4 linked regions of the Diceros bicornis minor genome follow. The protein of the gene in region 3 interacts with the protein of the main gene of each other region in a pairwise test. Links are inferred from orthologs where the notes say so. Each region holds a gene or a part of one and is shown on either strand. Other genes may lie near its edges.

What was found.
Region 1: the proteins of CBY2 (region 3) and LMO1 interact in binary tests that used the Homo sapiens proteins (3 or more experiments, as listed by UniProt). The two-hybrid records come from large-scale screens. The link is inferred for Diceros bicornis minor from reciprocal best matches to the Homo sapiens genes CBY2 and LMO1.
Region 2: the proteins of CBY2 (region 3) and MMAB interact in binary tests that used the Homo sapiens proteins (3 or more experiments, as listed by UniProt). The two-hybrid records come from large-scale screens. The link is inferred for Diceros bicornis minor from reciprocal best matches to the Homo sapiens genes CBY2 and MMAB.
Region 4: the proteins of CBY2 (region 3) and METTL17 interact in binary tests that used the Homo sapiens proteins (3 or more experiments, as listed by UniProt). The link is inferred for Diceros bicornis minor from reciprocal best matches to the Homo sapiens genes CBY2 and METTL17.

The regions. Positions count from the first base shown.
Region 1 is NC_080746.1:67,144,755-67,151,778, forward strand, and holds the start of LMO1 (rhombotin-1), read right to left. Parts: upstream 3,003-7,024; 5' UTR 2,978-3,002; coding exon 2,956-2,977; intron 1-2,955. UniProt on the Homo sapiens protein: May be involved in gene regulation within neural lineage cells potentially by direct DNA binding or by binding to other transcription factors.
Region 2 is NC_080774.1:17,971,885-17,979,168, forward strand, and holds the start of MMAB (corrinoid adenosyltransferase MMAB), read left to right. Parts: upstream 1-4,280; 5' UTR 4,281-4,299; coding exon 4,300-4,412; intron 4,413-7,188; coding exon 7,189-7,250; intron 7,251-7,284. Other genes in the region: MVK (mevalonate kinase), read right to left, coding at 1,896-2,043, 2,926-3,003. UniProt on the Homo sapiens protein: Converts cob(I)alamin to adenosylcobalamin (adenosylcob(III)alamin), a coenzyme for methylmalonyl-CoA mutase, therefore participates in the final step of the vitamin B12 conversion.
Region 3 is NC_080748.1:31,138,757-31,146,436, reverse strand, and holds the start of CBY2 (protein chibby homolog 2), read left to right. Parts: upstream 1-4,666; 5' UTR 4,667-4,799; coding exon 4,800-4,886; intron 4,887-7,680.
Region 4 is NC_080744.1:28,280,933-28,288,229, forward strand, and holds the start of METTL17 (methyltransferase-like protein 17, mitochondrial), read right to left. Parts: upstream 3,002-7,297; 5' UTR 2,976-3,001; coding exon 2,895-2,975; intron 2,760-2,894; coding exon 2,606-2,759; intron 2,519-2,605; coding exon 2,384-2,518; intron 1,482-2,383; coding exon 1,400-1,481; intron 1,142-1,399; coding exon 1,060-1,141; intron 737-1,059; coding exon 663-736; intron 217-662; coding exon 122-216; intron 1-121. UniProt on the Homo sapiens protein: Mitochondrial ribosome (mitoribosome) assembly factor. Binds at the interface of the head and body domains of the mitochondrial small ribosomal subunit (mt-SSU), occluding the mRNA channel and preventing compaction of the head domain towards the body.

The sequences.
Region 1 (7,024 bases), on a different chromosome or scaffold from region 3:
CCTGTCTTCCTCTGTCCCAGGCAGGGAAGTCAGGCTTTGAGAAACCAGAAGAGAGGCTGCTTTTAATGAGATGCCTCATCCGCAGCTCAGAGGGTTTCGCTTTCCCCTTCATCTTGAATACTTAATCCTAATAGTCCTTGAGTATATTTGATGTTAAATATATCATTTTGCTCAGACTCACCATCCCTCAGGACTGCAAACTTGATCTCTCCCCTGCCACTGAAGCCGGAGCCATACCCTGAGGGTCTGAGGGAGGCTTTGGCACTGCTGCCACCGGCACATTTAGTGCCAGCCCCTCCCCCCAGCCTGAGGTGGGGGCCAGCCAGCGTAGCAAGCAGTGGGCCTGACAGACTGGCAAGGGGTAGCCTCTTGCTGCAGACACCTCTGTGCTACCCGGAGGCATTCACTCAACAAGGGCTGTTTCTCCTTTCTTCCAGGGTCCGGCCCTGACCCATAAACCAGGACTCGACTAGCTGGGACCACTGTCCCACTCTCTTGTCCACGTGTTGTGCTTGGGACTGTATCCCAACACCAGCTCCCCTTAGCCTCCAAGGTACCCAATTAGCAGCCATACAGCTGGCATCCCTTGAGAAGTCAGGGGCCCTGTGCCCCAATCCAGGGACTGCAGCAGGCGTGGGGTGCTGAGCAATGGGTTGCAGAAGCAGCTAGCATACGTCAGCAGAGGACTGGTGCTGGTGTGAAGGGCTGCTTGAGCCCCCAGGCGGCTCTCTCTGTACTCCCAGTTGTGAGCATTGGGCTCCCACACTGATCTGGAGAAGGACCTCCATGGAGGCCGTCTGGTTTACAGAGCCACCCAGCAAGCCCTGGAGGATTTGGGTGACTTGAGCTCCGAGCCAGGAAGGGGCCTGCTGGGTTGACAAAGCCAGACATGAGCCTCTTATACAGCGGCCTCCCTCTCAGCTCCTGGGTAATTGCTAGGCAGGCAGGTAAGTCCTGGGCCCACGCTCACCCCCACCCAAGGTGCCTCCAGGTCTGGGGGCAGGCCCACAACCCCAGGGTGGAATCCTCAGATCCCCTGGGGCTGGGGGAGGCAGTTTGCACCCAACACATTCCACAGGTGATGAGCATGTACTCACACTTCAACACTGCCAAGAGTGCTCCCAAATGCCCTCGAAATGCCTCTGGGAACAGCAGAGGGAGGCCAGCTGATCAGCCCCTAAGGTTACAGTGAGGGATGGGGGTGCGACTGGCTGCTTTACAAAGTTTGGGCAGGTCCTAGCAGCTTGTGGCTGCACCTGGCAGGAAAGTCCTGAGGAAGGGTTCCTGCGTTGGGTTGGGGGGGTGGACTCAGTGCCCGAGGGCCTGGGCAGACCAGATATTCCAGAACTCTTCAGAGGAGGCTGTCAGATGTGCCTCAGCCCGAGGGCCCTGCTTCTAACACAGTGCAGCTGTCTCCAAAGCGGGGTTACAAGCTGCCCTCACAGGTGATGCTCAGAGAGGTATTCAGAGTGACAAGGGCCCCTTCCCTGTGGCCACCACAGGCGACAGGACGGAGTCAACCTACAGACTTTGCAGTACGATCAAGGTGCCTGCTGGCCAAGTGCAGACGCCCTGCCCTGCCCCTTCCTCACACAAAAGCAGCCCATGCACAGGAATTTGCAACCAGGTAGAGCAGAAAAGGTGCAGCAGGCAAACTTTTCCTCTTTTGGTTTCTGGGAGCCCCGGACAGGCCTTCTAGGAAGCTGCAGTTATAATTTGTCATGCCTGCGGAGGCCTAGGCGAAATCTGCACCCCAGAAAACAAGTCTCCCACACCCCCCTGATGAAGGCCAACCCACCCCCACACAACAGCCTGAGACCGTTGTGGGTGTAGGCTGACCAACTGTCCCAGTCTGCCCTGGGACTGAGGGATTTCCCAGGATGCAGGCTTTTCAGTGCTAAAATCGGGCAGTCCTGGGCAAACCAGACAGTCCATGACCATAGTGGGAGGTGGTAGAGAGAGACAAGGGACTAGTGGGGACAGAGAGAAAGGCGAGGCAGCCAGACCCTTCCCTGCAGACCAGCAGCTGCCTCCCAACACCAAATTTCCCAGCCTCCTGCCTCAGGGCTCATCTCCTAGGCACTAAGGAACTGCACCAGCCCCTGGGGATGGTCCATGGGTCAGCAGGGCTGTGAGTTCTCCTGAAACACTGGCATTTAGAATGGGAAGGGGGTGAGATAGACCCAGGGGTGGGTCCAGATTTTGTGAGAGCCAAACTTACTTATGCAATTGGGAGGGTGGGGGGAGCTCTTTAAGAAAAGGAATATACGATCACTAATTAATACAAAATTACCACTGAAGGACTCAGAAGCTTAAACTTCATTAGCTTCCAGGTAAATCTGCCCCTGATATTTTGGATATATGGCCCATCCACCAACCCTAGCCAGCGGGGCACCTCCCTCAGGCTAGGCTGGGGAAACTGATGGCAGGCGCCCTCCCCAGCCCCCGCCCCGGGGAGTGAAGTAGTGTCACCCATCTGGCAGCTATGAAGTTCCAGATCGGAGGGACCCCGGGACCGTGCTGGTTTGACTGCACCCTCACTCCCAGCTTATCTGGGCATCCCCCTGGGGAAGCCGTTCCGCAGTCGGGTGCGGAAAGGGGGACGTGCAGACACCCAGGGAGATGGGGAGCAGTGGGCACTGCGGGGAAGCCGGGCCGCGGGTCGGAGAGGCGCTCCCTGTGCCTGCGAGGCGGCAAGAGCCAGTGAGAAAGTTCCCGGCCGGAGCGTGCGGGGCTGGCGGGCCCGGGGTGACCCGTGTGACTTCCCAATCCCGCTGAGGCACCTCGGGGGCTGAGTCTGGCACCCCCGACACCCACACCCGGCGCACACCCAGCGCCCGCTACCGGGAAGGCGGCCGGGCCGGCGGAGGGGGCGCTGCCGCCGCGAGCGGGGTGGCCTCGGCAGGGCCCGCCCCGCGCCCCGCGCCCCGCGCCCCACGCGTCCCCGGCACCTACCGTCCTCCTGGTCCAACACCATGGTCCCCCGGCGGCTCCAGCCCGGCCCGGGCGGAGGACGCGGAGGGGCGCGCGGCTCCGACTCCGCCGCCGCCCGCCTGCGCTGCTCGCGCCGGCCCCGCGCGGGCTCCGCGCCCCGAGAGCGGCGGCGGCGGACGGGGGCGGGCGGACGGGCGCCGGGAGCTCAGCCTCGCGGGCGGGGAGCGCGGGAGGGAGCGCGGGCGCGAGCCGGGACCGGGATCGCCGGAGCCGCCGCCCGGGCCGGGCTGGAGCCGGAGCCGCCGCGCGCCCGTTCTCTCCGCGCGGGCCGCGCTCGCCGCCGCCGAATGGAGCCTGCGTTTCCCAGGGCCCCTCTGATTCCCCTGTTAATTAAATCAATTCATTATGCTCAGATCTGATTAGCGGCCCTTCCCCCCTTTGAATCAATTATTCAATACACAAACATAATTGCTTGGGCCAGAGGTGCCCGCCATTAGCTTATTTAACTCCAAGGACACTAATTACCCGCAGGGCACGGGAACTTTTCTCATTAATTCTGACAAAACACAAAAGCACAGCCAGAGTGTGTGCGTGTGAGGGACTCGGGGTGTGTGTGTGTGTGTGTGTGTGTGCGTGTCCGCATGCCAGGATGAGGGCTGTGTGGGGTGGTGAGGCACGTTGTGAGCTTAAGAGGAGACTGGGGGCGGCGGAATGCGTGCGATTGCGGGTGGGAGTGTGGGGGCGTGTAGTTTTGAGTGTGTGGCCCTGCTGCTGTGAGTGTGGGACTCCGTGCGTGTGATTGTGAGGGACTGCATGAGTGCATCGGGCTGGGTGTGGCTCCGAGTCTGGGGACTGTGGGCCGGGGTTTGAGACCCAGCACCGGAATGTATGAGATTGTGCGAGGGCTTCTGTGGGTGACTCTGTGAATGTGACTCCCTGGCTACTGTGGCAGGCGACCCCATTTCTTTTTTCATAATTGCCCTGCCATTGTCCGCTGCACGCTCAAACCCAGGGGGAAAGTGCAGACCACAGAAGAGAAACCGGGGAGGGTCAGGAGGGGTGGGTGACGCTGGAGCCAGGCTGGGGCCCAGTGTCCCCCTCCCCCCATCACCTGTTTGTGCACTGGCTGGGCTATGCTCCCCCCGCAGCAGCCCCCCCCACCACGAGTTAAAAACCTCAGTTCCCATTGCCCCCTTCCTTGGCCCCTCCCGAAACTGCCCCCCTCCTGCTTTTATCCCTTTTATCCCAAAGCCCTCCGCCGCTCCTGCCCCTCCATTTCCACATGTGCCTGAGACGCAGGCACACCCCCTCCCAACTCCACCCACTCTACCCTAGTTCTTTGCCTCCTGTCTGCAAGAATGAACGGAGGGTGTGCCTATGGTTGACCAACTTCTCCACATTTTACCTCCCAGGAAATCTATTGAGAGAGCGCGAGTGAGAGAGCCCGCAAAGGCAGGGACACAGAGGGTAATTGATTCCCCCAAATTAGGTTTCTGCTTTCTAAAGACCGGTATTGTTCCTGTTCTCAATGTGCACAGAGGTATTGAAGATTTCCTTTTTGTTTCCTAGGGCAATGAATGAGCTTAATCCATTTGGCTTTATAAATCAGGAAACTAATATTCGCTCCTTCCATAGCAGCTTTTTATAAAATTTAATTGGTGGGGGAGACACGATTTGTCACCCTTATGCTGTCCCCAAGCCCCCACTTATCAAAACACATTCTGATTGAGGGGTGGAGAGAAGTCTGGGGGGGCTCATCCTGATTCCTCCTGCTCTCTTCCATCCTTGCGCATAGACCCACACAGTATCTGGAAAAGTTTGTGAAATGACTGAATGAATTATATTCAATTCAGTGAAGAAAAGGAGGGTACTCAGAGGTGCTCTTCAGAATGATCTTTCAAATCTGCTGCTCGCAATCTCCCACTGAGATTGCACTGAGCAACCCATGCCTGGGGTTGGCAAATCCTCCTCACCATCCTGCACAAGCCACTAGAGTCATCTTCCCGGTGCTAAGATCTGACCCTGCTACTCTCCTGCTCAAAAATCTTCCATGGCTCCCCATTGTCCATAAAACAAAGCCTAACTACTTATCCTTTCATTTCAGGCGCTTCAAGAGATCCAGGGAAGTCTTTGCGACCACCACTATCCCTCACTTCAATTCAATTGATATCTATTGATCTCCATCAACAATCTTACACTCTGGCCCCTCTGGACTGCTTTGCTGTAATTGAATGCATCCCACAGGTTCCTGCTCCAACGACTCTTCTTGTGGCATCCCTCTGCTTAGAAAGCCCTTGTCCCTCTCAAAGTCCTCTGAGGAAATAGCTCCCCTATGTTCCTTTAAGTGGGTGTTTCTGTGTGAAGGCTGGGTTGCTGAGTGCTGTGTGGATTACTCCATTGAAGCCTGAGGGACAAGATCAGCCCCTGAGGGCAGGATTTCAGCTCTCCCCTGGAGCGGGAGGACAGATGTGGTATCAAGAGTCTCACTGGGTCACTGGAGAGAATGGGAGCTACAGAGGCAGGGGAGGGATTTGGATTCAAGAATGGAGGCTCAGAAGGAGACCCTTGGGCACCATCTTTTTCCCCAGGATCTCAGATGGCATGGGACCAGAACCCAGGTGCATGCTTCCTCTGGAGGCCCAGTATTTGGATCTCCATGTTGTTTAGTTCTCTGTGTAGCTAGGCACGCCACTGCCTAGATTGGCGCCTAGATTGGTGCCTAGATTGGTTCCCTGCACTAGAGCATCTGGCCAAGGGAGCAAGAGGGGCTGAAATACTGCTCTCTCTCTGCTCTCCAAGCCATGTACCTGGCATGGGCTGCACCCATCCAGAGAGGGCACCTTTTGCTAATTTGCACAAAGGCACCATGTAGGTATCTCTGCTCGGCCAGAGTTCACACTCAGGGAGGCCAGCCTGAGGGGCAAGCACCCAGCCTTCCCTGCCCCCGCCCGCACTTGCACCAAGGGCCTGTGTGAGCTGTTAGAAGACCAGCTTCCTGGTTTTCATAGAGAAAGAGAAAATTCAGAGAGCTTAACCATCAGGGAGTGGTCAGGGATACTGAAACAGGTGCTCAGCCCCATGTCTGAATTTTTATGGGTCCCAAGCACTGGTGAAAGACATGGAACTCAGTCCACAGCTGAGATTCAGATGTGGACAGACCCGCCATACGGACTGAAGTCCACAACGAGGACCACACTGGAGAGACAGTGAGGTTCCTGAGAGGAGAGCCTCATGGGGGGACTAGACTGAGCCACCAGGCCTGGAGTTTGCAGGGTCACTAGTTCCAGGTATGGCACAAAGCCAGGCCTGACCCACTCCTAACCAGTGCTTCAAGAAGAGAGGGCAGTGGTGCAAATGAGGAACCGGGTCACTAAGGGCCCTACAGCTTTGCTATGGGAGCCCCCTGTGAAAGAGCTGGTCACTAGAAGCAAAACATATGTCCCTGCTGGCCGAGAAAGACAAGAGCAGCTAAGGTCAGCAGCTTGGTGGCATTGGCAGCAGCACATGCGTGGAATGAATGACAAGATGGCCAGAGTGTCGGGCAGCAGCTCTGATAATATGGGAGGCATCTACACCCCTAGCCCATCAACCTCATCCCCCAACCCTGGGATGATCAGAGACAAAATGACTTATCCAGAACACAAAATCTAGCAATGTTCAGGAGGTACTTGGGTCACATGTGTAAGCACTCCTAGAAGGTCTCACAACTTTTTGGAGAGGAGGATCCTGAAGAGGAGAATCAGAGTATCAGAATTGGGGGCTAATTACTGTAAATGTATGAGATCTGGTACTCGGCATTTGTATGGCCTTTATGTTCCAACCTGTCTTAGCTACACAACGAACATGAAGGGAAAGGCTGTGTGAGCAAGAAGGGGCCAGAACAATAACAGGGGAACAGCCCCCACCACCAGCTTTGCCCCATGGCAGTAGAGCTCAGCAGGAGACGCAAAGCGCACCACATCAACATCAGGCAGACCAAAGACCTTGCTCCCATCCTCCCTCCCCACCTGGATGGCCTCCTGAAGCCACAATTGCTCTCCCATGCTCCATCTCTCTTCTCCCCAACCATCTGGTCCCCCTGTCCCATTCC
Region 2 (7,284 bases), on a different chromosome or scaffold from region 3:
TCTATATCACTGACAAGCTGTGTGACCTGAGCCCCTTGGCCTCTGAACCTCAATTTTCTCATCCATAAAACGGGGATGAATAACATGACCTACTTCCAGAGAAGGCTGGAGAATTATAAGAGCGCTAACATACATAACACAGTGGTTCAGTGCCTGGCACATATAAACGCCCAAATGTTCACTGTGTTTATTATTATTAGGAGGGAACAAAAGGATGGCAGATCCTTGCAACCTAGGAGAAAACATCTCCAAAAGGCTCGGATTCCCTTGTTTCCTTGGAGAAGCAGACAAACAAGCCCTCACGTATGGACTGCCCTCTGCATCACAGCTCTGTGCCCACCTCTGATCCTGCTGTATCCTCACAGCAAGCCTCCCAGGCAACATGACTCTGCTCATGGAGGCTCTGAGGGTTAAGTGACCTGCCCAGGCTCAACAAGGAGTCAGAAGTGATCTGAGACACGTCCCGTCACACCTGGCTGCTTCCATCCGTGCTACTGACATACAGAAGCAGCAGCCAGTTCTCAAGGAACTTTTCCAGCCTGGCTGGGTGGCCCTGTGCACCACGGAAAGCAAGGTCCAGGTCGCTCTGGATAGCTGTTGTCAGACGCATGCTCCAAAGCAGTGGCTCTTAATCGAGGGTGTCTCCTTTCAAAACACACATGCCTGGTCCCCTACCACCAGCACCAATACTCAGTAGGAGACAGGCAGGGCCAAGAATCCATCTGTATTGTTGACAACCACCACCACCACCACCAAAAAAAACCTCCCCAGGGGCTCTCAGGGCATGACTGAGGTTGAAAGTGGTTGCTCTAAAACGGTGGTTTTCAACTCTCACTCCAGCTCCCGACCGTATGCGGGAGTGGCTTGCTATGGACTGATTCTCATGAGAGACACGGAGCAGACGGAAAAGACCCCGGAGGAGGTCCCCCTCTGGCTGAGAAACACTATTCCAAAGGATAAGGCAGCAGCCCCGGGAGGAGACAGCAAACTGAGCAAACACTCCAGCTCTGGCAGGTGGTGACTCTGTTGATGGAAACCCTGCCTGCTTATGAGCGGTCACGACATTCCTCACACTATCAAAAATTAGCATGGGGGCCTTCGTTTATTGCCATGGGAAGACCATCCTGATGTACTGAAGAAAAAAAAAAAAGAACCACACATTTCTGAAGAGTTTATATAACCTGATCTAATTTTAGTTAAAAAAAACCCACCAAGATATCTCCTACCTCAATCAATCTAACAATCCAGCTACAGAAAATAATCCAGAAGGATTAACAACAAAATGCTTAAGAGTTGTCACGGTGCGTGAGATGGGAGGTGGTGATAATAGGTGATTGTTTTTTACTCACGTTGTTCCAGTATTAATTGTATTTTCCAATAATAAGCATGAGTTACTTTTACTTTTAATGATTTTTAATTCTATAAAACGCTAACACGTTCTCCTGTGAAAACAACATCACAGAAGGTTAGGCTCCCTGTGTCCACTCCCTAACCGCAGGACCCTCCCAGAGGTAATGAATCACCCTTGTCAGGTGGATGTATACCTTCCCAGCCTTTTTCTCTGCATTTACATACATACTGATGCTTAGTCTGGGTCACTCCTCATCATCCTATATGTGCTGTTTTGCACCTTGTTTTTTCACTCAATGGCAGGCTCTGATGATCTGTCCACAACAGCTCACACAGATCTAGTGCATCACTTTATGCTTTTAAATTTAGAAAAATTAATAAACAAGTGAAGCTAATTTTATGGGCACAGGAGAGAAAACACCCTCAGAGTGGCTGACCTCTGGCTCTCTCCAGGACAGCCTGGAATGACTACTCAGCCACCCTCCTTCCCCCTCTCTTCAGGGTCCCGGCTCTTCCTACATCTGGTTCCTCCTCCCTGCACTTACCCAGAAAGCTCGTGTCCAGCAGCTGAAGCCTGGCCATATCCCAGGCCTGCTTGATGCCAATGTTTGGCAAGTTGAGGCCCACTTTCCCATTGCTGTGGGGTTGAAGCCGGAGGAACGTTCTCAAGTTCAAGGCCACAGCCAGTGCTACCTGCAGAATAAAGGCCAAAAGCAATTAGCCTGAGGGTGGGTGGCAAGGAGCATGGCTCCTGTCTTGGGAAAAAGGGGGCAATGTGAATGTGTTGAGAAGAAAGCAAATACTAGCACAAAGGCCACTCCCACCCACGCCCTTGGCAGACACTGCTGACCAACCTTGGCATGTTCGCCCACTACGCCTGGGCACAGCCACCACCACCAATGAGAAGTTAACATCTACTTATGTTTGCCCTCCCCATGCAAAACTTCAGTGGTTCTCACACCAGGAACGGCTTCCCCATAATGACCATCTTTACAAAGGTAAATATAAGTTAAGAACACAAAGAACGACAAAGTGGAGGAGCGGAAAAAGCAGGAGCTTTGGGTTAAATGGTTCAGACAGACTTAGGTTCACTCCTAGCTCTACCTGGCTGTATGGGCCCTTAGTCAAGTTACCAATCCTCTCCTAAGCCAGAGCACCCACATCTGTAAAACAGGATAATTAAAGCCCAACCTCAGAGGGCAGCTGTAAGAGTTAAATGAGATAATGCATGCTTCAGACTCCTTTGCTGGATCCTACTCACCTTCCTGACTTCTAAACGTTGGAGTGTTCAGAGCCCAGGCCTTGAACCTCTTTTCTTTTCCACCAAAGCTCACTTCCTAGGTGATCCCCTTCCACTGGCAGGGCTTTACCCATCATCATTTGCTATCTCCCTGAGTGGGCCAGAGAAGCCTTCAGCGGGCGTAAGACCTGTCTTTTCTCTGCCTGGCTGGGGAGAAATTGACCTCCTCTCTGATCTACTCCCAGACTGTGCCTCGAGGCTTCCTTCCAGCCTCTTTCACGATTAGTGTCAGGGAGAAGTGGTGTCAATCCTCAAAGGCTCTGGGGGCCTTTTACCTTGCCATGGACCACCGCATGCTCTCCATGCAGGATGACTTTCCCTGGAGCAGACACCAGCAGGACTTCTGACAACATGGCTCCTGGGAATCCTGAAAGGGAAAGCCAGAGAGAGGATGGAAGGTCCCCAGATGGTAGAGATCTTAGGGCATGCCTAGTTCAAGCTCAGCATTATAACAAAAAAGGCAGCACCATTCAGCACTTGCTACGTCCCACAAAGGCAGTGCGGGGCAGCAGTCAACTAGACGCGTGAGAAAGATCCGGGTTCAAACCCCAGCTCTTCTGCTCTCCAGGGATGTCATCTTAGCTAACTCACTTAAATGCTCTGAACCTCAGTTTCCTCATGTTATACGGGGATGATAACTGTACTTACCTCAATGGGTTTTGAGAAGGTTAAATTAACTAATGCAAGGGAAACATTTAGCAGTGCCTGGTACATGGTAATCACTTCATTACTGATAGCTACTTATTACTGGCTCTGCTCTTTGTTCCAGCTTTTACTATTAAAGGTAGACATTTAAACAAAATCATGGACCAGAAAGAACTCTTTCCTGGTCATTTACGCTGTTTCCAAAGTGTCACAATTATAAACAGGCTGCAGAAAACAGCTGTCGCATCTCTTTTTGCACACTTAAGCGAGGATCTCTACAAGACAGAGTCCCAGAAAGGGACTTGCAGGGTCTACGGGTGTGCGAATTTTAGATTTTTATAAATACCGCAAAATTACCTTCCATTTAAGGCTGTACGTGCCTTACCTCAACACGGTAATAAGACCTGAACTGCACTATGAACTAAGTACTATCGCGATCCCCGTTTCTTAGAAGGGAGGAAACCCACTGCTTGTCCGAAACTCAGTCATGTCTGTCAGATTCCAAGTCCCCGAACCCTCAGGACGGATTCTCAGTTAGGGAAACTGAGGCAGAGACGCCGGGAGCCCGCCCCGGGGTCATCCTGGGTCTCGGCCTCGGACCTCGCCCCCCCGGCCCCGCGCCCCTGGCCTCACCTGCCGCCGCTGCCCCTCCGCCCCGAGCCCGAGCCGCTCCGGGACTCCATCCCCCGGCTCCCGAGCCACGGGGGGAGTGGGCCGCTGCCTTCCGCCCAGCCAATCAGAGCGCGCGACCCGGGAGTCTCTTTACCAATTGGCTTGAGTATTGGCCAATAGGTGTTGCTAACCAAGTCGTCACGGGTGTCCCCGCCCAGCCCCTTCAGTAAACCAATGGGAAACGAGTCCCTGGGAGTGTCCCGCCCTGGTGCGAGAGCCACGGGCCAATGGAAAATGGCGGCTGAGCGGTGGCGCGGCCGACGGGAGGTGGAGTCACCCCGCGACCTGGACGGGAGCCTGGTGGGGTCAGCCCCCGACCCGCGGCCTGGCGCATGGCTGTGTGGGGCCTGGGAGGCCGCCTGGGCCTGCGCGGGTGTCTCGGGGCCAGCGGACTACGTCCCGGTTTCCAGAGCCGCGGCCTCCAGGGCGTGGATGACGGGGACAGGTGAGTGCCTGGCTGGGAGGGTAACTCCGACGCCTGCCGTGAATTGTGGTGTCGTCGCCATGGTTACGTCACACCGCTGTGAGGTCACTGCAGCAACCTCCAGGTGACGTCCTCTCTTAGTCGTGACGTCACCATGGCAACGTGGGCGCCGTGGAAGCCAGAGACCAAGATTTCTTTGCACAAGACAAGTCGAACGAGGCCCAGCTGTCATCCATCAGTGCAGGGCATGTTCCGTGTGGGCCAGGAGGGCCATCTCGCCTGGCCTCGCCATCAGGGGTGCCTCAATTCAGATTTTGACCTATCTCCAAAGCAGTGTATACCCTAAGACACAGAGATACACCCACACGATCTAAAGATGGCTGTCATCACGTTCCTTGAAACTTGCACCCCATTCCCGGACCTCAGAACCTGTGGAGTACCATGGATTAATATACTTCATAGATCCAATAATTTAACCTTTGAATAACTTTGTCGTGCACATTTTAATTTTTTTTCTTTTAATTAGCTTTTTAATTGAGGTCACATTGGTTTATAACATTATGTGAACTTCAGGTGTACGTCGTTATATTTTGACTTCTGTGTAGGCTACATCGTGTTTACCACCCAAGGTCTAGTTGCCATCTGTCACTGTACACATGTGCCCTTTTACCCTCCCCCTCATCCCTTTTTCTCTGATAACCACCCGTCTATTCTCTGTGTCTGTGTGTATGTTTGTTGTTTTTATCTTCCACATATGAGTGAAATCATATGGTATTTGGCTTTCTCTATCTGACTGACTTCGCTTAGCATAATAATGCCCTCACGTTCCATATATGTTATCACAAATGGAAAGATTTCCTTTTTTTTTTTTTTTTTATAGCTGAGTAGTAGTCCATTGTGTATATACTCCACATCTTCTGTATCCATTCATCCACTGACGGGCAGTTAGGTTGCTTCCAAGTCTTGGCTATTGTGAATAATGCTGCAATGAACATAGGGGTGCATATATCTTTTCATATTTGTGTTTTCATATTCTCTGGATAAATACCCAGAAGTGGAATAGCTTTATCATATGGTAGTTCCATTTTTAATTTGTTGAGAAATCTCCATGCTATTTTCCATTGTGGCTGCACCAGTTTGCATTCCAACCAGTAGTGTACGGGGTTCCCTTCTCTCCACATCCTCTCCAACACTTGTTATTTCTTGTCTTGTTAACAATAGCCATTCTGGCGGGCGTGAGGTTACATCTCATTGTCGTTGATGTGCATTTCCCTAGTAATTAGTGATGTTGAACATCTTCTCGTGTGCCTGTTGGCCATCTGTATATCTTCTTCAGAAAAATGTTCAGATCCTCTGCCCATTTTTTGTTCAGGTTGTTTGTTTTTTTGTTGTTGAGTTGTATGAGTTCTTTATATATTTTGGATATTAACCCCTTATTGGCTATATGATTTGCAAGTATCTCCTCCCATTTATTGGGTTGTCTTTTCGTTTTGTTGATGGTTTCCTTTGCTGTGCAGAAGCTTTTTAGTCTGATGTAGTCCCATTTGTTTATTTTTTCTTTTGTTTCCTTTGCCTGAGTAGACGTGGTATTCAAAAAGATACTGCTGGGCCAGCCAGTAGCTTAGTGGTTAAGTTCGTATGCTCTGCTTTGGCAGCCTGGGGTTCGCAGGTTCAAATCCCGGGTGCAAACTGATACACTGCTCATCAAGCCATGCTGTGGCGGCATCCCACATACAAAATAGAGGAAGATGGGCACAGATGTTAGCTCAGGGCCAATCTTCCTCAGCAAAAAAGAGGAAGATTGGCAACAGATGTTAGCTCAGGGCCAATCCTCCTCACCAAAAAAAAAAAAAAAAAAAGACACTGGTAAGACTGAGGTCAAAGAGTGTACTCCCTATGTTTTCTTCTAGGAGTTTTATGGTTTCAGATCTTATATTCAAGTTTTTAATCCATTTTGAGTTAATTTTTGTGTGTGGTGTAAGATAAAGTTCTACTTTCATTCTTTTGCGTGTGGCTGCCCAGTTTTTCCCAGCACTATTTACTGAAGAGACTTTCCTTTCTCCATTATATGTTCTTGGCTCCCCTGTCAAAAATTAGCTGTCCGCAGAGTCACATTTTAATTTTGAGGTCTGTATTAAAGGTGTTATGTTGCTATTTGAAAATGCCAGGTTTTGAACGCTGTTTTGGCAATTTTTTATTTCTGAGTATATTTGGAGGCTCCAAGAAAGGAAGAGGGCCAAGTTTCTTTCCCTCAAAGAGGCCTGACTTGGTGGAGTAGAGGGTAAAGAGTTTGGGTAGGGTAGAGCTAAGAATTTGGGGCCTGAAGTAAGATGGTCTTGGGCATGAATCCCAGCCCTACTGCTTCCTCCCTGGGTGACCTAGGAAGATGAGTCCCATCCTGTGAGCTACAGTTTCTTCAGCAGTAAAATGAACGTCCTATGTAGTGCCTACCTTTGGGGCTGTGGGAAGAGTCTAGGGATAATTCTGGGAGATAATGCCAGTAATGCACACAGTGTAGGGACTGTGGAAAGTGACCGATAAATTCTTTCAGCACATAGTTATTGAGCAGTGCACTGCATTAGCTACTGTGCAGATACGGATGTGGGCAAGGCACAGCTTGGGAGCCCACAAAGGGCTTAAAACTGAGAGGGATGGAGGAGATGTCAACAGAGATCCAAGCAGGGGGGGGTAAGTGTCGCCCGTGAGGCTACGAGCAGCAAGCCGGGACCACTGAAGGAGGGGCCCCCATATGTGAGCCATCCCCACTCACCACCTCTTGATGTCTCTTTCTCATTAGGCCACAGCCTTCCTCGAAGACACCCAACCTCCCCAAGATTTACACCAAAACAGGAGACAAAGGTAGGGTGGGGACAGATGAAAAATGCAAAGAAAG
Region 3 (7,680 bases):
TCGGAGGGGTTGCTTGAAGGAGGCACACTGCAGCAAATGTGGGGAGCACAAAAGCTTCTTTACATAAAAGACAGTTTGCTCAGCCTGGAATTGTATCTGTAGCTTTCACTACCCAGGACATGCAGAGCATTGCTCTTTGAATCAGAGGATTATGGAAAAGGGGAGGCGAGGGGTTAGGAATCAGGCCGACAAACACCCCAGACAGGTGGCTACCTGGTGATAACCTGGGATTTCCAGGGAGGGGAGCTTAGTGCTCATTGAGACAGACTGTTGGACAGCTCTTATGAATAATAAATAATGACGACGATCCTGGTAATAATAATGATAAGACAGAACACGGCAGTAGATGTGGGATTATTCAGCCACCATTATTCAGCTAAATATGTACCAGGCACCATATTTAGCATGTAACAAATTACACAGATTTTGCCTATAAATCTTTTTCCCCTGGGCTTTCGACCAGCCTCCCAGGTCTGCTCTCTGGAGCTACATACAACAAATTTCTTCCGCAGCGGGCTGCAAATGTTTAAAGGTAGCTTTTAAGTTCTTTACCTGTTTTTTCTCTTCTTTTTGGTGCTAAACTTAAGTTTATTTTTTGAACCTGATACAGGTATTTATATGGATCAGTATTAAATTTCATCTTGCTAGCTTTGTCTCACCCTTCCAGGCTGCTCAAATGTTTGTGAATCCGATTCTATCATTCAGTGTGTTAACCAGACCTTTTAAATGTGCTACTGAGAATGATAAGCTTCCAAGTCTTCCTTCCTATCCCATTTTCCTTTCTTCTTTTCCTCTTTCTTCTGCAGACATCCATGGAGGACTTTCTATGTAACAGACACTGTCAGGCACTGGGGCTGCAAGATCACGTAAGGCACACCTACAGACCTCAAGAAAGCATCTTGCTTAAGCAGGGAGACAGAAAAACGAATTAAAATATGGTATAGTGTGATTACGTCATGAAAGAAAGAGGAAGATTTTAACATGAGTTGGAAGAGCATTATCTGTAAGGGGAGAAAATAGGAAGCTAGGAGGATGCCACCCTCTGGCTTCTGGGGTGTGGGGCCCATGAGAGAAATGGGCAGTCTCCATGTAGATAAATGCTAGCCAGAGGGGTCCCAGGGCTGGGGTGGGGGACAGGCTTTAGCCACCATAAGGAAATGGAAAGAAAATTCTGTGTAGAGGATGAGGGTAAGGGGAGCTTATTTACGGAGGGGGCTAGGCTATTACTGTCTGGTGGTACAGCCTTTTCTCCTATCTCCTACCTGCCCGACCAGTGGGGCCCCCAACCCCCACCTGACCTCCCTAAAGAATCAAGTTCAGCTGCCTTGGCTCATGGGTCTAAGTTTTGACACGGCAAACTGGAGAAGCACCGAGCATTCTAGATTTCAATTAGAGACCAGAGAGGGACAGAATGAGAAAGGAAGGGGGTCATTTACGACCTGAAAATGCCCAATTAGTCATTGGGAAGGCTGGTAAGACCAAGAGCAAAGGGATTTTTTGTTACGACTGCTCATGGGGTTCTTCCAAGCATAATCATGTGGTCATTTAGAGGCTGTCCTCAGTGTCCAGGCCGAATGGCTCATTTGCTCACATCACAGAGCCCAGGATGGTGCCTGGAGTCTGCAAATTTCCAGGAGTTAGGAATTTTGTAGGACAGAGAATAGGTGGCCTTGGTAGACCCATTATCCCATGTTGGACCCATGTCTTATTCAAAGAGGGATATCCCCAGGCCCTCCTAAGGAAAGAAACCTCCGCAGCCAAGAGGCTACAGAGTCCTGGGAATTAGTGGGTTCTGGGCCAGTGCCAGGTGCCACCTGGGAGCTGTCCCTGAATCTCTGCTCAGCGCTTCCTAGAATCCCTGAACCCCATAGAAAGCTGGTTGCACCGACTGATTTGGTTAGGGCTGAGGAGCTCCACTTGCTGTCAGGAGGGCAGAAAATTATAACCCGGGTGAGGAGTGCTGCTAGTGCTTATTTCCTTAGACAGTGCATCAGGGAACATGGTCAGGTGTAACTCCTGGGGCACTGAGTGCATGGCCATGGGCGGGTGCAAACCACACTCATATAGCTGAGCTCCAAAAGCGTGGCTTGAAGCTGTGACCCAACATAAAGCTGAAGTTTATCACAACTACTGGTGAAAATAGGCCTGGGGATCTTGGACGGATTTGGAGCTGAGAGGCAGGCTCAGGACTTGGGCTGTGCTGCCTGAGCATCCCTTTCTTCTAAAAGGCAAAGGCACCAGTCTAAAACGGCATGATGCCCGGCTCCACATTTTGGAGTTTGGGGGGATTAAATATGAAAAACTAAATAAACTCTGTTATTAAACCAGCACCTCCTATTTTTGGTGGGACAGGAAGAATGTAGGCTTATGCTTCTAGACTAAGAGACTTGGAGCTACACAACCCGGAAGTGAAGAGGCCAACTAAACCCCTAAGATCTAGGAGGAGACCAGCAGGTGCTGGGTTGAGGACTCCTGGCTGAGGACTGCGAAGGGTGAGGAATTTGCTACTGAGGCGCTACCTAACAGGACACATCAGCCCCGACTACAGCAGCAGAGATGGGAGGGCAAGGCTTCACCCTGTCTCAAGGTGCAAGAGAAGCCTCAAGCTTTGGTAGATAGTTGTATGTGTTCCTTCCAATAGCAGACTGGAGAGAAACTTGGTTCTAGCACAGGCGAGCTTATTTAAAACTCGACCTGTAGGGCTGACGTCTTTCCTATTAATCCTCGATGTGCCTAGAAGGAGGCCCTGTTAACAGTGTTACATTATTTAACATTAAGCGTCAACTTAGAAAAAGGCAGGGGCTCTGGGCCAGTCATGGACTAGCTCTAGTCAGGTTGGGCATTTCCAGTTCCTCAGAGCTGGGGCCGAGGGCTCTGTCTGCTGAGCAGTCCTCCTGGCCCTTTTTCCGTCTTCTCTCGGTTTTCTACTCCAAGATATTCACAGTCCTGCTTTATTTTCTGGAGAATGCAGTATACATTTCCAGCAATTCTTCCAGAGGGAGATTTCTTTTTGGGGTCCCAGCCTCACTCTCAAATTTTCTTATTTTAAAGCAAGCGTGTTCATTCTTTAAAACCCAACTCAAAGTCACCTCCTCTGTGAAGACGTGCACGCTCTTCTGGAAGGTCTATCCTCTTTTTCCCACAGCTCTCTCATGCCCTTCTCTTACTGCACTGTTCACATTTGTTTGCATGCCTGCCTCACCCATGAGACGGCAGCCTCACACAACGCCTGGCATGTGCAGGATTTCCACAGAAGTTTGTGGACTGAATGGATGATCCATGGGAAGAAAGGGCACATAGGAGACTGACCTCACATCAAGTTTTCGGTCTGGACTTTTCAGGCCCCCATCCATCTAACTTTCTCTCCTGCTGTGGAGGGACAACCAAGAGATGAGTTGTGAGTGGGCTCAGAAGGCAAAGTTGAAGCTGATGAAGAGAATGGGGTGAGCCATAGCGCCTTTGGGTGTAGCTCAGTTGCTGCCAGTAGATGCTTGGAAACCGTGGCTGGAGCAAGGGGAGAAGTCTCATTTCTGTAAAGGATCCAGGGTGTTCTAGAGGGCTCTGCAAACGCGAGGTCGTCTTGTGGCCGTATGGTCCTCAGTAGCTGTTTATAACCTCTCTAACTAACTGGCAGGCTTCTTGGCTGAAGGCAGCTGCCTTCCCTCTTGGGGGAACAACTGATGGCCTACTTGGGCAAGTTCCATGGCGCCATGCCCACGCTGATCCAGATCCACATTAAAAAACGCCAGGGGGCAACACTGAAGCCAAAAAGTTCTGTTGACCTCCCTTAGACCAGTCAGTGCAGTTTTTAGCAGTTTGGACACCCCAGTGCACTCATTAAAACACAATTCCCTAAGGCCTTTTTTATAAATGGAATTTCAAATGTATTCAGATTTGAACTTTCAAGGAGGGTGACCTTGAGCAGCCACTCAGCACAGAACATCTGTGGAGGACCAGCCACTGGCCCCTCCTCACCTTCTCCCTGGAAGTTTAGGACCACTGCTTCTCTCTCATTTTAAGGTCGGGGGGGACAGGGGTGGGTGGGATGACAGGGGAAACTGATTTGCTTTGGCTCACAGGAACTGGTTGTGCACAGGGATGGAATTTTGGATGCGGTGAATTGTTTTTCCTGCCTAGTTGACTGGACTATGCAGGCTGAAAAGGAAGAAATTACACCGTCCACACCCATAATGTTTCCTTAAACTCAGGGCCAGGGTTCTAAGGACCCAGTCCTCCTTTATTTGCAGAAGTGTCAGGGCCCAACACCGCCCTTCACAAAGCGTAGAAGCGCGGTCACAGCAGGGAACAGGAGGGCCAAAGGAGGGAGGGGCAGAGAATGCGGAGAGAGACAAAGAATTCCGAGGTGACGCTTCTTTGTTCCCCAGACTCTGGACGCAGCTCCCCCTCCCTCCTGCCTGGCGGGGGCCGGAGGAGGAGGAGCGGGTCTCCCGGAGCACGGGCGGCTAAGGTCGGCAGCCCTTACCCGCGCCGACGGCGGCGCAGCTCCAGCGCCGTCTCCCAGGCTGCACTCGTGTGTTTCAGCTCTCAGTTGCCATGGGAACGGCGCCCCTCTCCCTCCCCCGCGCCCTTCTAAGGCGTACCGGGGTTCCAAGCCTCTGGACCTGCCCCCGGCTTCCCTTTCCCAGCCCCCGTCGTCGCGGCGGAAATGCTGGGCCAAGCGTGCGTGGCTGGCCGGAAAGTTTTCATTATTTGCGTCATGGCCACGTGCATCAGGTGTTCCCCCGAATGGGGACGGTGGACGGCAGACCGCTAGTACTGGGTGTCGGCTGGCGCCGGCCATGCTGCTAATCCACACCGTGCTCCGGGGCAGAGGAGGCGCGGCAAAGACTGGTGGAGTTTTATTTGATTTTATTATTTATTTAATGGTATGTAAATTTTATAGCTTTATTTTTCTGTTTCCAGAATCATGCCGCGTCAGCTTTCCCCAATCCCGGGCCCCAGCGCGAGCTTGTGAGGGGTTGCTGAGATGGAGACAGGGCCTGCGACTCCCTAGAGCTGAGACTCTCTAACTCGGTCAGGTTGTGGGCTGCAGGGTGTGCTGGCCGGGAGAAGGGCGGGTATTCCCCTGAGGCACCCTGAGTGGACTCACTTGGGCTGGTTCCCAGGACAAAGACCCCTAAGCAGCCTGGAGGACTGTCGGGGGGCGGGGGCAAGGAGCTGCCCTGAGGGGACAGTCCACGTGCAGAGGCTTGATCTGGGGTCAAGGGTTGGAGGAAGCCGATGAAGTTCACATGCCGTGGCCACTCTGAGTGGACTTGTTGAGGGTTGCAGAGTGGCCCAGGTCGGGTGAGGCGGCTGGGTTGCAATCCATTTCTGTGTAAGCATTTCTGCTCAGTTGTCAGAGTTCAGAAGAAAAGGACTTGGATCTTTGAGGTGCCAGTGATTTGCTGTGATTTCTTCTCACATTCTAAATAGCTTATTCACTTTTGCACCTAAATTTGTATTTGTAATATTTTATTCTTTTTCTCGAAGAGAGTCCAAATTGTATAAGCTCCAGGTCTCCACAAAACCTGAAGAGTCGTGAGTACCCTATGCACACCAGCAGTGTGTGTTACTGGGCTTCTTCATATTGTCTCTCCGTGGCCTGTGCCAGGCTCTTGGGAAGGGGGTGGGAATGACAGAAAAGGGGACTCCAGTGGGAGAGGCATGTGACGCAGAGAACCTCTGTGGTTCTTGGTGGTTCCACCTCTGCTTGGTGGTCCTGTAGGAGATGAGCAAATGGAAGGTGACCAGATAACTATTTCTGCCTCTCTCCCTTCCTACTCCAACGTGGAGAAAGTTGGAGGAAAACAGAAGAGAGGCCAAGTCCATATGAGTATCACAGGGCGACAGTAGGAGCCTCAATGAGTTGGGGAGGGGTGTAGCAGAAGCAGAAAGACAGAGGATGCTACCTGGTGTCCGAAGAGCTCTTGGGATTGTTGGTTCCCAAGGATTTCTTGAAGCACAAAGGAAGAATTTGAGGCTAGGTTGTTACAACCATTTTTGCTGGGACTGGTCAAAGACTACTTCTGGGATCTACACACCTCTCAATTATACTCAGGGACACTGCCAAGGGCTGGCTTGGGGGGACTTTTGTAGCCCCCATCATCTCCAGCAACCTCACCTGAATCTAACTAAAAAGTGTACTTGGTTTGCAAACACAGCTTCAAGATAAGTTTCTTAGCCTGCTGTTCCCCACAGTCCCTGGCCGGTAAGGCTCTGTCACACAAATTTCAGTGTCCATTCTTCAGCCTGGTGACAGGCATCTTGGATGGTGTCATGGTAAGGCCTTCCACAAGATGGTGCTCATAGGTTTTGTTTTTATTATTTCTTGCTGTTGATTGATTCATCCCTTTGTCAGTATTTTATTGAATGCCTATTATGTGCTAGCATTGTTCTAGGAGGTTCTGGGGATATAGATTGAAGAAGACAAAGTCCCTTGTTTCAAAGAATTTAACAAGGCTGTGATTTTTACACTTTCAGAGGCAAAACTCAACTGTGATGTAAGTTTCCCTATTTATGTTGCTGATAGATACTTTTGATAGTTGTGCTACATTTCTGACAGTTGCACACTTTTTTTCCCTCTGGACTGGGATGGCCTGGAGGAACTATAGACACATTTATTATTTGCATGGGGAAAGGATTAACTTATATCTGTCTGTAGAAGCCACTCTCTGAGATCCACCCTTTTGTCAGGAAAACACAACATCTTAACTTGAATAATTCCAAATTGTTGCTAAGCATCAGCTTATCATTTTGAAGTCGCAGCTTGGGATTCATCTGCCCATTTGAGTGAATTCACAGCTCTTTTTAAAGAAAAATTCTAGTAGGTCTTTCAGGTATCCCAGTGACCCGCCTTCAAGTGAGAATGAGATGGGCCTTGATCTTGGTGAGAATTTATCAGTCTCTTTTTTTGCTTTTCATAGCAAAATGTCAACCTTGCCACCTAACCTTCTACCCCAGAGAATAAGCACATTCAAAGAGCTCACTCTTGCCAAAGGCAAATCTGAAATCACAGTTGAGAGAGAGAGACAGAGGTCTGTGTGAGCTGATCCAGATTCCTCCAGCTTTGGTAAGCTCCATCCTTGTTCTAAGTTAGATTCCTGAGGGCAACATCTTTTAGGACCTTTGCTACACCAACTTGGCTGCTTCCAGAAGTACCTTCACTTAGCTATGATTGAAGAGTACGCCCTTGATTTTTATTGCCGATTGATATAAAAATGGTCATAAAACAAATGTTTCTGTACTTTTGGCAAAAATAATGGTTGAAGCCCTTGTTCACTTTACCATTCCACGTCCTTTCTGTAAGCATTCACAAGAAACCCAGACCACCTGCTTGACTTGACATTTCTGCTAGGGTATCCCTAGGCGTATTCTGTTTAACATGGCCAACATCAAACTCCTGATCTTCTCCCACGATCTGCTCCTCCCTCAGTCTTGGTCGTTTCAGTAAACTCCACTGCTCAGCCAAGCATCTCAGAACCATCTGGACTGCTCTCTTTCTCTCTCACCTCGCATGTAACCTGTTCTCAGATCCTGTTGCCTCTGCCTTTAACACACATCCAGAATCTGGTCATTTCTCACCACCTTCTCTTGTCTGGAGACTTTGACAGGCTTCTTAATTGATCTCTCTACTTATGTGCTTTGTTCCCCTACAACTATGCTCAACACAGCATCCAG
Region 4 (7,297 bases), on a different chromosome or scaffold from region 3:
CAGATTCATCTTTAACTTTTAGCCCTCTCCTCTACTCCCCAATAAAACACCCTTTCTAGGACTCCTTTGCTTTCTTAGCTCCTTCAACTTTGGAAAAGCCCTTCTTATACCTTGTCCTCACCTTTCAGTAGCTTTTCTGCCAAATCCAACATGGCAGCTGAGCTGTCCACACACATATATTCACGTAGGCTCTGGCCCCAAGTACTATGAGCAGCCCTAAGATGGCAAAATATAAATCGCCAATTCTCATGACAATGAGTCATCCCTACAAGAGACCACTCCACCTCCAACCCCACCCCTGCTGAAACAGAGTGTTATGTTAAAATAGTTGGAAAAACTAACAATTTTCGTTTATAACTCCTTAAAAAAAAAAAGGCAGACTGAAAAAACTACTTGTAGGCAAAAAATTTTGATGATATGTAAAACCTACACCCTAGACTAAATTCTTTTCCTTTTTTATCTTTCTAAACATGCGTCTTTTTTACTTGACATTTCTTTTAAGCTCTGGCCCTAATCCATAATCTTACGCCTTGCCTAACATGAGGCAAGAAACATTCTAGTTCCCAACTTTCCTATTCTCCCTCTGGTTCCACAGTGTCTTGATACTGAAGTGGTGTAGGCATGGCTCTCCAGAGCTAGAATTGACAGAGAAAGATACTCACCAGGTGACAGAACCAGTACCCGAACCAAAGTCCATCAAGGTTTGTGGTTGGAACTCTGGAATTCGGGCCCGGATCTGAAGAAATATATAACACCCCACATTAGGGTAAATAGACACTTATTTAGAGCCTTGGTGAATATGAATTAGGGGACTACGATAGAGGAGATGCGACGTGAACGTGTTTTGAGATTCAATGTAAATACTTTATAGGATAGGAAGCTCCTAAAAGAGTGATTCTAAATCTTTCTTGGGTCACAAATCTTTTCAGAGGATAAAGAGGGCCTCTTTAAAGAAAGAAATGGACATGCAATGTCCCAAGAATCCTATCCCAGGAGACTACTTTATGAATCACGGAACTGATGGTAAAAGGGTTCAGGTTGAAGTTGAGGGACTTTCACCTCATGGAATGCCCTGGAGACTGCTGCAAAGCCACCATCCAGTCTTGCTGCCATGTACACCAGGCTCAGTCCCTCATTGTAGCTGCCAGGAAAATCAGAGAGTCATACCCACTGGAAAATAACTATCTATCCCATAGCTATCTTCTAGACTTTTAGGAAACGAAATCTTTGGAAAGGGCTCTTCCAATTCAACACTTTCACTCCTCAACAGAGAAGATTCTTGGGGAGCCTTACAAACCAGACAGCTTTTTCAAACACTAAACTGTGTAACTGTACTTCCCCAACTCTCCTTCTGAAGTCAAACTTTTCTTTCTTCTACAGCCCTTCTAGTCCCCCTTACCTCAGTTCTCGCCAGTGGTAGGTAGTTCTGCGCAGGGCATGCAGCACTGCTCCACAAAGTTTCTCCTCTGTCTGAGATGAGTCTGGGGTGAGAACAAGGACTGGAAGTGAGGACCTAGGAAGAACAGGGCTCAGATCCAGTATCTGAATATACTGCCTGCCCATTCCTCCCCAACTCCCACCAGGGAAAGCCTCAAAGCTTAGGAGAGAAGCCAAACCTAGAGAAAAAGTTCAGGTAAGAATAACGATGACTACCACCACCAACAGATTGCATCAGATAGTATTTTACCTCTACCAGCAGTTTATTCAACTCCATCAACCCTATCCCACAGGTTTTGTTCTTTATTCAAGGGAAGTATGGTAAAGAATCAAAGGATTGGATAAGGACAATATATTGTGGATTTCCTCCTTTCTCCCACACTTAAGATTGTGATGTCTCCAATGTTCCTATAGGGAGGAAAGGGGCTTGAAAATCTTAAGCCTCATGACCGTGTTCAGTTCAGTACTATTTTATCTACTGAGCACCTACTATGAACCAGGCACTGTGGGAAGTGCAGGGAATACAAGACGAAGAAAAAGTAGGTCTGTAATATGCAGGAGCTCACAATCATGAAAATAACTTGACAAATTATACTTAGTATTCTCCTATCCCTGAAGAGGGTTCCAGTACTGGACAGGGAGCCAAACAGGGACTTTATTTCACTTGAATAAAAACTTAGACGGTCCTAATCCAGCGGACTTGGAGGACACAAATAAACATCTAGATTTCAACAGGATACTGAAGCACTCGCTGACCTTTACCAAAGCCCCAAGGGCAATCTCTGAAATAATCTTTCTTCTCTTGATAAGACGTCATTGTAATAACTGCTCTGGCCAGAAAGTCAAGCAAGAAAACGCAGTATCTATTTGAGAGACGGTAATATTATTTCTTGCTCTTCACTTCTCACCGATATTTCAATTTGGCCTCTTTATTCTTAAGCCCTACCTGGGTTTTCCAAGAATTTTTTCTCAAGATGTACAGCCCGTCTTTGCAACTCCTCTGGCTCTATAGGTAAATGCCGGCTCCAGAGATAATTGGTCAGTGCTTGCACCTGCTTCTCCACATTGGGCATAGACCTCTCTACGGGCGAAAGATGAAAAGCGGCATCACTCGCGGGCAGCCCCAGTCTCCGCCTCTTCTCGAGCCTCCCTTTCCACCGTCACTCACCGAGCAGCAGTAACTGCGCGGCGTCAGCCAGGGCTTGCGGCAGCCGCACGCGCGGCAGCTGCAGGATGCCAGGGTGCCGGCGATGGGGCCTCTTCCCCAGAAAATCGGACTTGTTATCCACCTGGGATACGCCGGGCACGAGGGCGGCGAGAGCCTGCAGCCCGGGAAAAGAAAGCTGACTGCGAGGGGCAGAAGGCAAGGTTCTGGGCGTTCGCTTAGAGAGGAGCTGCCGAGAGCGCCTCCCAGAGATCCAGCGTCCCTCCGAGAACAGGGAAAAGCAGGCACTCACGCGAGACTGGGGAAGTACTCCAAGGCCGCGGCGCCATCTGCCTAATGTCTGCAGATACTTCAGTTCCAACGCGGTCGCCATGGCTCCCGAGGCGACCCGGAAACGGAAATGTAGGTGCCTGTGACCCTCGCGGGGACCATGCCCTGCGGAACAGCGGCACCGGGCAGTATTAGCCAATGAAGAGAGCCAGTGCTTGCTGGTAGCCAATAAACAATAGATATGTAAATCACCTTGCAGAGTAACTGTACATGGATCGGACTTGGACCTCGGTTCCCACGTAACTAGTCGCAAGCGAGGTGGCGTCGCGGCTGCGTTGGGACTGGTCTCCGGGTCCAGACATCGAGGGGGCGGGGCGGGGCGGGGTGGGGAAGGGCCCTTTCCTGGAGTCTCTAGAAAGGCGCCTTAGACAGGCAAAGACTATTTCTGGGTGTAATAATTACCTGAGCTCCTTGCTTTCACTACGGAGAACTCTGAAGCCTTGGAGTTTTTTTTCCCTTTGTGTAAAGAGTAGAATGGAGTAACGGAAAGATGAGATATGAAAAACCAGATTTAGGTGACCGAAGATAACAGAGATTTATAGTTAATAGAGTTAATGTTTTTTACATGTTAGTTTGTCTTCATATTAAACCGGCCCTCTTTGATAAATAGCTGACACTTAGAGCATTATGTGCCAGATACTGTGGCACGCACTTTTACGCAATATTACTCCATTTAGTCCCCACAATCCTATGAGGTAGATTCTGTTGTTAACCCCATTTTGCAGCTGAGAAAAGTGAGTCCTCAGGTGGTTAAATATCACGCCCAAGATCACAAAGCTTGTTAGGTGACAACTAGGTTTAAACCTAGGCAGTCTGAGTCTGAGCTTCACTTTTAAACATAAGTCCTACCTCACATTGTTGCTCCTTGGAATGCAAGTTAGCAAGTTAACTAAGAACAATATGCTAAATGTTCTGAAGTGTTCAGTTACCGTGTAGCATTAAAACAAACTCACTGTGTTGTAACCTGTTGATTCCTATAGCAAACACATTAGTCAACTCTGGTATATCTTAACCTTTTGAGATAGAAATCTGTTGGCTGGAAGGATAGAAGTGTTGTTGCCTTTGCTGTAACTGAAAGAGTCCAGATATGATAATTATAGATAGAATATGGGGAACTGTATCATTTGGAGAGTTAAATGTCTGGTTTGCATTTAGGTTATTAAGCTTTGATTCTAATAAAGGAGGTCTTTGCTTTATAATCTGAATACTCTGGAAGGAGACTTGAGGGGTGCTTAGGACAACTGTTGTAAATTCCCTACTCACTGCTCTCCTCCCTTTCAGGTTCACCTTCTTCATTTTGTTTCCCCACGCTTTGATTCACAGTGCTACACTTAGCCTCATGTCTGTGACACTTTGCTTTTACTTTAAATTGCTGGCTCAAGTATTAGCAAAATAAAATATCCCTGTCACTGTAGGTTAGCTGTAGCATAAGATTGGCTATGTTATTTTTTGTCATAGGGAGGTAGCAGAACATAGGGATAAGATGCTTGGCACCTGGAATCTGGCAGTTTGAATTTGAATTCTAGAGCAGCAAGATAATAATAGTTGCTACCTCATAGGGTTATTGGAATGATGATTTCATGAGCTAATGTCTGGCCCAAAGTAAATGCTCAATATATTTATGATATTGTTATCATATATGTGATCATGTATTTTGGGAACTTGAAGGGACATAATCACATTTTTATTTATTTATTTATTTTATTTATTTATTTTTTTCCCCCAAAGCCCCAGTAGATAGTTGTATGTCATAGCTGCACATCCTTCTAGTTGCTGTATGTGGGACGCAGCCTCAGCATGGCCAGAGAAGCGGTGCGTCGGTGTGCACCTGGGATCCAAACCTGGGCCGCCAGCAGCGGAGCGCGCTCACTTAACCGCTAAGCCTCGGGGCTGGCCCCACATTTTAATTTTTATTATAAATTTATGTTTTATTTCCAAGACAGACTTGAAAGTGGGGATATTTGGGGCCAAGTAAGACTGAGCAGTGGAGACTGAGGAGTAAGGAGCAGGAGAACTTGGGTGGTGCCTCTGAATGTCCGTCTTGTTTTTCCCATCAAGCTGCCAACATAGCTGTGGCCTCCTTCATTCTAGCACTGGCCTAATTGGGATTGTTCTCTTCCTTTGGTAATACAACATCTCAAAAGCTGACTTAGACCTAATTTTAAGTGTCTTTGTTCTTAATCCAAAGTATTGTTCATAAAAACAAAAGAAAACAAAAACGTCCACACCATCTTCCTCATAGATCAAAGATGTCCTCAAGACATCTAAAACAGTGAACACAATTCTTGGTGCATTGAAAATGCTTAATCAATATTTGTTGATTATGTTGATAAAATGACCCCTCTTTGTTTTCATGCTTGGAAAAGGTCAGCAGAATAGACTAGTTTGAGGATCTGAGTCTAATCGTTTGACCAGGTCACAATTCCCCAAATGCATAGATGAGCCCATTTCACACCTAATCCGTGAATTCTGCCATGTTAGCATTGGTCATACCTTGACTTGGGTAGTATTTCCAATTAGTGGCTCTACGTTAAAAGAAACAGACATAAATGTGGAGAAAATAGACAATATTAAGAGAAATAACCCCCACCCCCAAATTAAGTAAGGGAAAATAAAAAAGATTCTCTGAGGAAGATTTGGATAATCTGGTTGGAGATGGATGATGACCAACTGGTTTTCTCCACTGAGTTCATGAAAAAGGGAAATAACTAATAATTAGATTCAGAGAAACTCTCAACAATGAAGGTGTAAAGCAACTGCAATAAGTTTCTTGGGAAATTAAAGAAATTCTGCCATCAAAGATCCCAAATAGTATCCTTTTTATCTCCTGCTTCATTTCTTTTTGTTATTTTCCTTTTTTTAAATCTTCTATTCTCTTATGGCATTATGTTGTGTTTGTGTTGGTGTATTTTCTAGGTTGGTCTTTATCTTCTTTTTTTTTTTTTGTGAGGAAGACCAGCCCTAAGCTAACATCCAATGCCAATCTTCCTCTTTTTTTTTTGCTGAGGAAGACTGGCCCTGGGCTAACATCCATGCCCATCTTCCTCCACTTTATATGGGATGCCGCCACCGCATGGCTTGACAAGCGGTGTGTTGGTGCATGCCCGGGATCTGAACCTGTGAACCCTGGGCCGCTGCAGCGAGCGTGCGCACTTAACCGCTGCGCCACCAGGCTGGCCCCCAGTCTTTATCTTCTAAAGGATTTTACTTTTATTTGTAACTTCTCCTGAATGTGTCACCTTTTTTTCTGAGTTTTTTTCTAATTTTGATGCTTATTGTTCTTTCATGTCTTGGATTATTTTCTTAGCTTTTTTTGAAACCATGGATTACAGTTTTAATCTGTTTTGTGGACATGTCTGTGTTAGTTTAGGTTCTTGGCGAAGCAGACATTAAGATGGGATTCGATTTGTAAGACACGTATTGGGCGAAATGCCTGTGAGGGGGAAAGAGAGGGGGAGAAGAAGAGATAGGAAGAGCTGTCAGACTGTGAAGCAGGTCTGACCTCTGTGAAAGACAGAGGGAACGAAAACACGTTGGATAGGCACAGTTCTAAAAAAGTTTCAACCAGGCTGATGGAGAGTCTTTGAGCCCAAGGTGGCTGTTGGAGGAGTCTTGCATCTCTTGGAAATGGGCCTGACTTAGTATCTCTGCTGCACTCAGTCATCTTTTAAGAGCAGCCCATGGGAGGCAGAGCAGATTCACCAGTGTGGCAGTTAGGGCCATTGGTCAGTTATGATCCCCCCAGCAGGAGATCTGAATAGTGCATTTTCATAGCTGCCCTAAAGCCACACAAATCTACTTCTCCAGATAGGTTCAAGGGACAATTCCTTCAAGCTTCATATGGGCTTCTGTTCCTGAAGGGAAATATAGAAGAAGGAGGTTAGTGGGACAAACTATAGCCACTGTCACTGCATTTGATCCCAGGGCTGTAACTGGCACCCATCCTCTCCCTCCTTTACTATCCATTCTAATTTCCTCTTACCCTCAGCTATCATGTCATTATGTCTTAGTGACTTATCTGGTGTTGTGACCCAAACCTTCCTTCTTGAGGGGTCTAAACCCTTGATAGTCATATCTTTCTCTGGCTAAGGTTGCTACAAATGTACATTCACAGTTACAGTGGAGCATGGGAATTCCAGGAAGCACCCAAGTAGATCACTTGGGTTCCACATGAATTCCTCTCTGCCCCCATTGTGTAAAAGCAGCCTGCCTCCTCCTGCTGATTAGGGTTACTTAGCCCTGACATATGGTAACTCCTCTTTTCATCTGCTGGTCCCTAGACCCAAGAAATCCAAAGTGTCCTGGCAGCAGTTATAGACTGTAGTTCAATGGGAGCCTTGATATGTCACCTGGCAAGAGAGCATC